2 linked regions of the Daphnia pulex genome follow. The protein of the gene in region 1 purifies or fractionates together with the protein of each later gene. This does not show direct contact. Links are inferred from orthologs where the notes say so. Each region holds a gene or a part of one and is shown on either strand. Other genes may lie near its edges. The genes, in order: ribonuclease 3-like and microprocessor complex subunit DGCR8-like.

Region 1 (4,433 bases):
CACCCTAGGGGAAGATAAAAAATAAAGAATTCTTCTTTCAAATGTGATAAAGTGGCCACCAGTCGCCACCATCCTTTTAAAATGATTTGATATGGTTTACATGCATCTCAGTAGATTTCCTGGAAAATGGCGATGTTAACGTGAGATATTAGCAATTTCCCAGTTTGCATCACAAGAAGATTAGTGTCTAGAAATTAATTGTAGGTAATTAATGAGGTATACCATTAAGCTAATTGCTCTAGATAGAAATGACTCAAATGAGAAGTTTGGTAACAAAAAAATCAAAATGGTTTCTTTGCAAGGAGAGGTCGATTCCGACGCCATATTTCCCTTATCTTGCTGTGAACGTCGTCCTTAGCAACTTTACACAAATCCTTGTTTGCTTAAAAAGTTGGACGTTTCTAGAAAAAAAAGATACTTGCCTTCTCCCAAGCAATCAATACAACTCAGTGTGGTCGGATAAGGACCGAGAAGAGCTGGCCTTATTTTGCTTCATCACCCTCAACTTTTGATCTTGGGTTTGCAAAATCGATGGCGTGCGGCAAGTTCGTACAATACCAATAGTTTGGAGGAGAGTGTGTCCCCAATACTATCCATTCTACATACATTGAGTCTAAACAATACATGAATGATACAGCATCATCGATTGGGAGATCGACGAGAGCAAAGGACAATACATTCAGTCAATATAATCGAAACGCATGGTTCCTATTGGATCGATGTCTATTGGATCAAAGGGAAATGACGATTTTAGATAATGCTTCCGTCCGCTTCCGTCTGAGCAGAGCATGTGAAATTTGATCATCCAGTTGATGAAACTACAAGAGACACTCGCGACAGAGAATTCCAATAATCAATATGATGAAGAAATATAATATAGTTACTGTATATCAGCGATCAGTTGCAAACGCACATGAGCGCACTGATGACCAATAAGGCAATAACATATCGAATTATCAAGGGATTCCCCTAAAAAAAAACAAGTGTAATTACGACTACTATATGTTCTGGAGCGTTATAGGTAATCTTAATCTTAATTAAACGACCAACGACAAATAAGTGCAATTTGCTTGTGAGGAAATTTGGTACTATGGCGCAACCTTTTTTTTAAATAAACGAGCGTAACATAACTGACCTTTGAGTTTTCTTAGGATTTAAAATAGTATTAAAAAGAATAGCCTCACGCTCGATTGTTGATGGGTCTTTCACTCTTTCTTTCAATTTAGCTCACACAGCCTCACTGTAGTATTCAGACACACCACAAGGAGCGCTGTATGTCTGTACTCTTAGGAGTTGTGGATCAGTGTTAGGGCCTTTAATTGTATCTCAGCGAAAGTCGAGGCGGAATTTGGAGTAAGTTAACCGGCCTCATTTTCTAAATTTGTGAAACACATTTCTTGAATGTTTTTTTTTCTTTCAACGTGTGTCACCTAGTATTAACTTAACTCGGTATACAAGCTAACGGTACAAAAGCTAGAATTCAAGAAGTCCAACAGAATCAGCAATTTGTTTCGATTCTCCTATTAATCCTATTAATAATACGTCGATGTTTTAGAAATGAAGCCTGTAGAAATTCTCGCTAACTTACATCCAGCTTTTACTTTGTAAAGGTTGTCAGGGGTTGTCAGACCCAACAAACGTGACAGTCTCATTGTTGTTTGACCAACAAAACAAAAAGATTTTTAATGTGAGTTTTCAGCAATCAATGTTATTTTTTATTTGATTTTGAATGCCCTTCTTTCTTCTTATAGATGGATGGTCACAATAACCAGCAACCACCGTTTCCATTGTATTATGGATACCAATATGCTCAGCCTCAGCCCAACAATTTCCCTCATGCAATGCAATATAGTTTTCCTCCTCCCCCATTCCATGAAATGAATTTTCCACCCCCTATACCTTATGGGATATACCCACCACCACCACCACAACCATTTGCAATTGGCCCACATGCACAACAAACAAGTTACCCACCAGCAATTTCCCATTCTTTTGTGCCAAACTATCCTCCATTGAATCAGTATCCCCAGGCTGCCCCGTATCTCTCAGCCCAGCAACGTCCATCAGCTTGCAGTTCTATGCCCACAAGTAACACTCACCCACAAACTAATAAAGTTTCAGGATCATATTCAAGTCATAATTCCACATCGAAAAGACCTTTACCTATTAAATCAAGCCAAAAGCCTCACTCCAGTTCTTCATCTTCTACAAGAACAGAGTATAAGAAGTCACATCAACATTCTGCTCATGAGGATGAACCTATCACCCCACCGGACGAATATTCTAGCCTAACTCCTGAAGAAATTATTGAAAATGAGAAGAAAACATGGACTCGTTGTGCGCCTGCAGATCTGTTCTATGCTCGGGATCTGGACAATCCTAAATTGATGCGTGGCACCGACAAATTGAAAGCTACTATTGATCAATTTCGCATTAAGCTGCTAGAGCGTGGCGACAAAGCTCGTACAATGCAGCCCAAATTTGATTACCCTCCCCGTAAAACAAGGAGACACAGTACGCAGTGTGGCGGTTCTTGCAAGGATAAATCCAAAAAGACTTGCGAGTCCGATTCAAGTACTTCTGATTCTTCTTCAGAGGAGGAAGACGAAGTTGATCTAGTTCTTCAAGAACTGGAACGAAAGAAACAACATCCGTCAAGACTTCACCCTGAACTGTGGTTCAATGATCCAGGAGAAATGAATGACGGTCCTTTGTGCCGCTGCAGGTAAAGAAAACATTTCCATTTTATTTCTATTTATTTTCATAATAAAATAAAAATCTTGTTTCTCTGTAGTTTCAAAGCACGTCGGACTGGTATTCGACATGGTATCTACGCAGGAGAAAAATCGTCTATGATATGTGACCGGAATTCTAACAACGGTGACATTTTGCATCACTACCGAGTGACCATTTCCCCACCGACAAATTTTCTCTTAAAGAGACCGACCGTTATTCATCATGATGGACACGAGTTCATTTTTGAAGGTTTCTCGCTTTTGTCTCACTACCCACTAGATAAAGTGCCTACCTGCAAAGTCATTCGATTCAACATTGAATATACGTAAGTGTCCCATATTTTTCATTTCGATCCAACAGACATCATGGTAATATTTAATTTTCGGTATAGAATCGTCTACATTGAAGAAAAAGTTCCCGATAACTTTACAATTCAAGAACTTGAATTGTTTAGTCACTATCTATTCCACGAGTTACTTGAGTTGGTCGACTTTAACCTCCATGCAGCTGGAGATACGAACGGTTGTCCGCAATTTCATATCCTACCGCGTTTTGTGAGAGACTTACCTGACCACGGCAAAGAGATGTTGTCGATGAACCAAGTGCTACAGTATCTAATCCAACAGAACGTTCCAGTGATTGACGAAACAGAATTGGGTTATCAACTTAAACTACCCCAGGTACGGTTTTATACTGCCCTAGTTTTGTGTGTTGACATTTTTACATTGGTTGAAATAAATGTTCTAACTGTTTCCTATTTTTTACGGTTTCTAGCATGATTGGCAGAATATGGCTGATTTTACAAAAGGAATGATTGTCACGAAGCCAGGTTCCAAGCCGTGTTCCCTCAGGGTTGACCAGCTTGATCGCGACCAACTCCGGATGGATGTCATCAGCTACCCGGAGATTGTCCATTTTGGCATAAGGCCACCTCAACTCAGCTACGCAGGCAATCCCGAGTATCAAAAAGCATGGCGAGACTACGTTAAATTTCGCCACCTGCTAGCCAATATGCCGAAGCCGTCATTTGAAGACAAGCGCAAATTAGAGGCAAAGGAGAACAGACTCCAGGAAATGCGACTCCAGAATAATATGAAGCGCGATGTAACGGTCGCTGTTTCTAGTGAAGGATTTTACCGAACCGGAATTATGTGTGATGTCGTCCAACACGGGTAGAACAAATTCTCCACTTACTTTTTAACTCTTTATTTATATGTATTTTTATTTTTTACCTATTCCTTTAGAATGTTACTCCCAGTGCTGATTACGCACTTACGCTTCCACAAGTCACTCGATGTTCTGGAAGACAGGATCAAATATCGTTTCAAGAATCGATATTTGCTTCAATTGGCTCTTACCCATCCTTCGTATCGTGAAAATTTTGGAACTAACCCGGACCATGCCCGCAACTCTTTAACCAATTGTGGAATACGTCAGCCGGAATATGGTGATAGACGCATTCACTACATGAACACACGAAAACGAGGAATCAACACATTAATCAACATCATGTCCCGGTATGAGATGTTAACAGTTTTAAATGCTTTCCATTCATCTCTGTAACTAAATTTGATTTCGTTAACAGCCTTGGCAAGAAGCAGGAGACAGAATCTAGTATCACTCACAATGAGCGACTGGAATTCTTGGGTGATGCTGTAGTTGAGTTTTTGGCTTCCATCCATCTGTATCACATGTTT
Region 2 (4,276 bases), on another chromosome or scaffold:
CCGTTGCGTACCCTCATCTGTCGTAACTTCAACATTTCTTGTCTAAGCTTGTTCAGAATGGCGTAATTGGGCGCGTTGACAGCTGCTTTGCTTTGGAGTAGAGTGATTTGCTGTTCTTCTTGTTTCTTCTCTTTTACTGTTTTAAGCGAATGTGAACCATAAAGACGAAGCAATGAACCCCAACTAGAAATGTGAGGATGCAGCGCCTTCTCCCAGATGAAGAAAAACAAATCGCAAAATTTAAAAATCTGAAACTGATGTTCAAGTTGATTACAATTCACCTGCAATATGGCCTGGGCTGCTCTTTGCTTTCCATCTCTTTTATTCTTGCATGGTACTTGAACTGTATGCTTTCCAACCGTCATTATTACTTCGTTTTTCTGATGTTTCAATGTTTTGAGCTCGTACTTGACGTTCTTATCGCCTAAACCAAAGTTTCTGCAACATTCATAATTATTGAAAATCGTTCAATACGCTAAAGAGAAAAACTGTTGAATCACCTTTGAAGGCATGTGAGGAGGATTGCGTAAGGGGATGGTTCGCTCGTTTTTGCACACAGTTCGGCAACGCGAGGGTCTTCTATTCGAATTTCGTTGAAAAACTGCTTTACAATAAACGGTAAGTAACACCATTCAATGCATCTAATAGCAAAATTAAATGCAACGTACGGATAGATCTAAGTCAGACTGATGATTTGGTCCCTTGTGACCTGGTTCCGCCTCGTCCAATATTTTTTCCTTCATCTGTGGAATAAGAACTTCTAGTGTCGCTTTCGCTGCTTCCGCCTTGGCGGCTTTCTTACTCGAACCGACCCCAGTACCGTACTGCATTCCATTAATCAATACCGTAGCACTATAAGGCGTTGCTGCATTCTCTGTCGAACAAAAATTACCCGATAAAACAATGAAAACAAAAATCGTTGCATTATGGGCAGTCGAATATACCAATTTCTTTAAATGTATAGGCAGGTTGCTTCTTAAGGGCATGTTGAACGTATTCATGGAGGATGCAAACGTAACTTTTCCCTGCCGGATTCATAATCCATTCCCGTCGCGATCCACTGTGAGATTTACAAACAAGAAATTGTTATCACAATTGAAGCCTTCAATATATAATGTTTACTTACCCATTAGCTCCACCAGCAGCACCTTGTCCTTCGCTTTGGGAGGTCGGATCGTTGTGTGTTGCCGGAATGGAATGTCCGATAGGGAAGGTTATAAGTTTGGTCCCTTTAGGTAAAGTTGGTCGACCCAGTTCAGCCGTCTGTGACAATTTAGCATCGTCATCCTCAACAGGGCTTTGGCTTGAGCCAATCACTTGTTTCTTATCCTCATTCAAGGAAAGACCAGATTGGGGGTAAATCTGTCGTTGTTTCCGCAGTTTGGTGTGCTTTCTCCTAGCTGCCCATGTTCTGTATGAATTTTTTAACGATGAATGAATGAGTAGGTATTAATAAGATTTAAGCAAATTACTCACTTAAATCGCATAAGGCGGACGGTTTTAAAATCAAATCGTTTGGAGCAGTATTCGCGCAGCTGAACTCCATTGAGAGAATGTGCTGCCTGATTCTCTTGGACTGATTCGATCCGAGCACAGGGGATATCAGGGGCAACATGAGCAGTACCATCTGCTGCAGTGTTAGCTGAGGCCTCTAATAGCTCTTCGGATTTCTGTTCTTCTTTCTCCTTGGCTCTTTGGTAATGTAGGCAAGGTACGGCGCTAATTGGCACTGCATGTTTCTAAAGATCGGAACTCGGGAGTTTAAATAGAAACAAAAAAGTAATGTTTAATTTAAAAATTACTCTGGCACTTCCAGGTCCAAGGAAGTAAGGCTTAGCAAGGGTGCAAACCCGTGTAGGTTTGTGAAGGTAGATAGGCATTCCACTGTTGTGTGTAACTTGGACCCAATTTTCAGGCAAAACTTCGAAATGGTTCTTACCCTTTTCTTAAAAACACAAAATAAAAATTAAAAAACTTTTTTAAATTAAATGTTTTTAAGGAATAACCTGAAAGTGTTACCTTCAAGAACAATTTTTTCTTTTTCTTCATATGCCATACTTGCATCCCCATTACCAGATGGCTTGGAAGAACCATCTGATTTTTTGAACTTTTTCCTAGATTTCATTTCTTCTGGTAAACCTTAAAAGTTACAAGTTACAGGTAAAAAATATCCACAACAAATGTCATATAGTTTGTAAAGTTACCTTCTTCCAACATAGCATCAATTTCATCTTGTTGTATATCAAAATCTTCTTCACTGTCTGCTTCATTGGAACTGCTGAAATCACTCTCTGAATTTTCCTTACACTCATCGTCATCATTAGCGTTGCTTTCAACTATTTCATCTAATACATGAAACTCTCTCATATTACTGAAATCTTTGTACAGTCCATCTGCGTCATCTTCTTCGGGATCAATATCATCCACTAGTTGAGAACCTTCCAAAATATCTTTCATCTCTTCCATTTCAAATTCTGTCATGCACAGAGTAGAAACCAAACTTAAGATAAGGTGTGGAATTGGAAATCCACAAATAAAGTTAACTGGTCTTAATATCTATGAATTACAATGTGTAAATGGAAGAATGAGCATCTACATCATAGGCCTTGTCTTCTGAGAAAATCAAAATCGAACACACATCAATAGCATTCGGGAAGATTTTCCTCAAACTTGGCAAAGCAATGATATAGTGCTATCGTATTTCGACGTGACGGATGAAGAACCGCTTTTATTTGTATATAATTGGATTTATATTAGCAACTATAGTTTTAAAGTAGAATGCCAATATTAGTTCAAAACTTCAAATCAAAATAATAATTTGATTCAATAGAATCGTCAAAGGATGAATAACTCGAGTTTGTTTGTAAAAGATTTCTAAAAAAATATGGCTTAGCAGACGAACTTTTTTCGAAAATCAATCTGTTGTTGCCTCGTCTACAACGCCATCTAAAGACGATCTAATTGTAATAAAAAATTCTAATATAAATCTGATAAAAATATCCTTGATTAAAAATTGCACAATATTCCAAATACAAACTTAAAATCATACTTTTTTGTCTTTTGCAAAAATGTTTTTGTTGATTTTGTTGCCGCATGGCAGCGCTGATTTTCCATTTTGTTGACAGCTTTATGACGTAGTCAGTTTTCACTCCGCTTCAGGTTACTCTTAATCTAGCATCTCGTTGAAAACGATACTGAAACCAAATTTGCTAAAGAAAATACATTCAAAATTCCGGAACAAGAAAGGTAGTCACAACATTCTTCTTTATTGTTGTTTGTTAGTTCATTTTTGTGTATGCAATTGTTTTTCTGTGCATTTCATTAGAGATGCTTTTTATGTTTTTGGTGATGCCTTTGGTCGGGCTAGCCAAGCAAGATGGCGGTTAATCGAGCATAGTTATTTTCAAACCCAGATTTCAACATCAAAATTTTCATTTCCTCTTTAGAATGTCGCGTCATCGTGAATGGGATTTGAAATGCAAAGTCTATGTTGGCAATCTGGGCAATAACACAGCCAGAGGTGACTTGGAAGCTTCATTCAGCAAATATGGAGCCTTGAAAAATGTTTGGGTTGCCCGAAATCCCCCTGGCTTTGCATTTGTTGAGTATGAGGATCCCAGAGATGCTGAAGATGCAGTTAGAGCCATGGATGGATCGTAAGAAACCAAATTACATACAATGGTAATTAATTATGTAAAATTAATTATTGACTTCTCGTAGGAGGATTTGTGGTTCTCGTGTGAGGGTGGAGATGTCTTCTGGCAGAGCCAGAGAGAGGAATGGACCCAGAGGAGGAGGTGGTGGTGGTGATCGCGGAGGTGATCGCCGCGGAGGGCCCCGTGGCGGTGCCGATTTCCGCGGAAGGTACGGTTAAAAATAATAAATTCTAACTTTTTTTTTTTACTTTTGAATTTCAATCAAATTGATTATTAAATATCAAATTTTATATATATATATATCGGAGCTGCTTATTTAAATCAAAACCTATTGCTTTCACAGGATTTTTTCATTTGATTTACTACCCCACTACCCCATCCATACAGCCGTAGTATTTGGTTGAAAAAAAAAAAAAAAAATAACATACCCCCTCTTTGTTTCTGGTTAACTGCTGCGGCACATGTTTGCCTGCCAACAACCACAAGTCTCTCCCCTTGTCGTCCACCAACTCAGCTCAATCAGCTCAGCTCAGCGCCGTCCTCAAGCGCCGCCATTCTTTTTTCTTGGCGGAGCAAAATGAAACAGAGCATAGCCAGCTTTCGTCCATCCATCCATCCAA

Evidence for each region.
Region 2: the proteins of ribonuclease 3-like (region 1) and microprocessor complex subunit DGCR8-like purify together in Drosophila melanogaster (affinity purification with western blotting; 4 studies listed by BioGRID, with this or other methods). This does not show direct contact. The link is inferred for Daphnia pulex from reciprocal best matches to the Drosophila melanogaster genes drosha and pasha.

Annotation. Positions count from the first base shown.
Region 1 is NC_060020.1:4,125,796-4,130,228, reverse strand, and holds the start of ribonuclease 3-like, read left to right. Parts: upstream 1-1,345; 5' UTR 1,346-1,687; intron 1,688-1,751; coding exon 1,752-2,725; intron 2,726-2,794; coding exon 2,795-3,061; intron 3,062-3,127; coding exon 3,128-3,416; intron 3,417-3,510; coding exon 3,511-3,908; intron 3,909-3,980; coding exon 3,981-4,253; intron 4,254-4,321; coding exon 4,322-4,433.
Region 2 is NC_060024.1:13,485,289-13,489,564, forward strand, and holds the start of microprocessor complex subunit DGCR8-like, read right to left. Parts: upstream 2,896-4,276; 5' UTR 2,482-2,895; coding exon 2,205-2,481; intron 2,140-2,204; coding exon 2,020-2,139; intron 1,946-2,019; coding exon 1,803-1,945; intron 1,740-1,802; coding exon 1,477-1,739; intron 1,412-1,476; coding exon 1,127-1,411; intron 1,061-1,126; coding exon 945-1,060; intron 875-944; coding exon 669-874; intron 605-668; coding exon 501-604; intron 439-500; coding exon 282-438; intron 207-281; coding exon 12-206; intron 1-11. Other genes in the region: RNA-binding protein 1-like, read left to right, coding at 3,448-3,656, 3,721-3,864.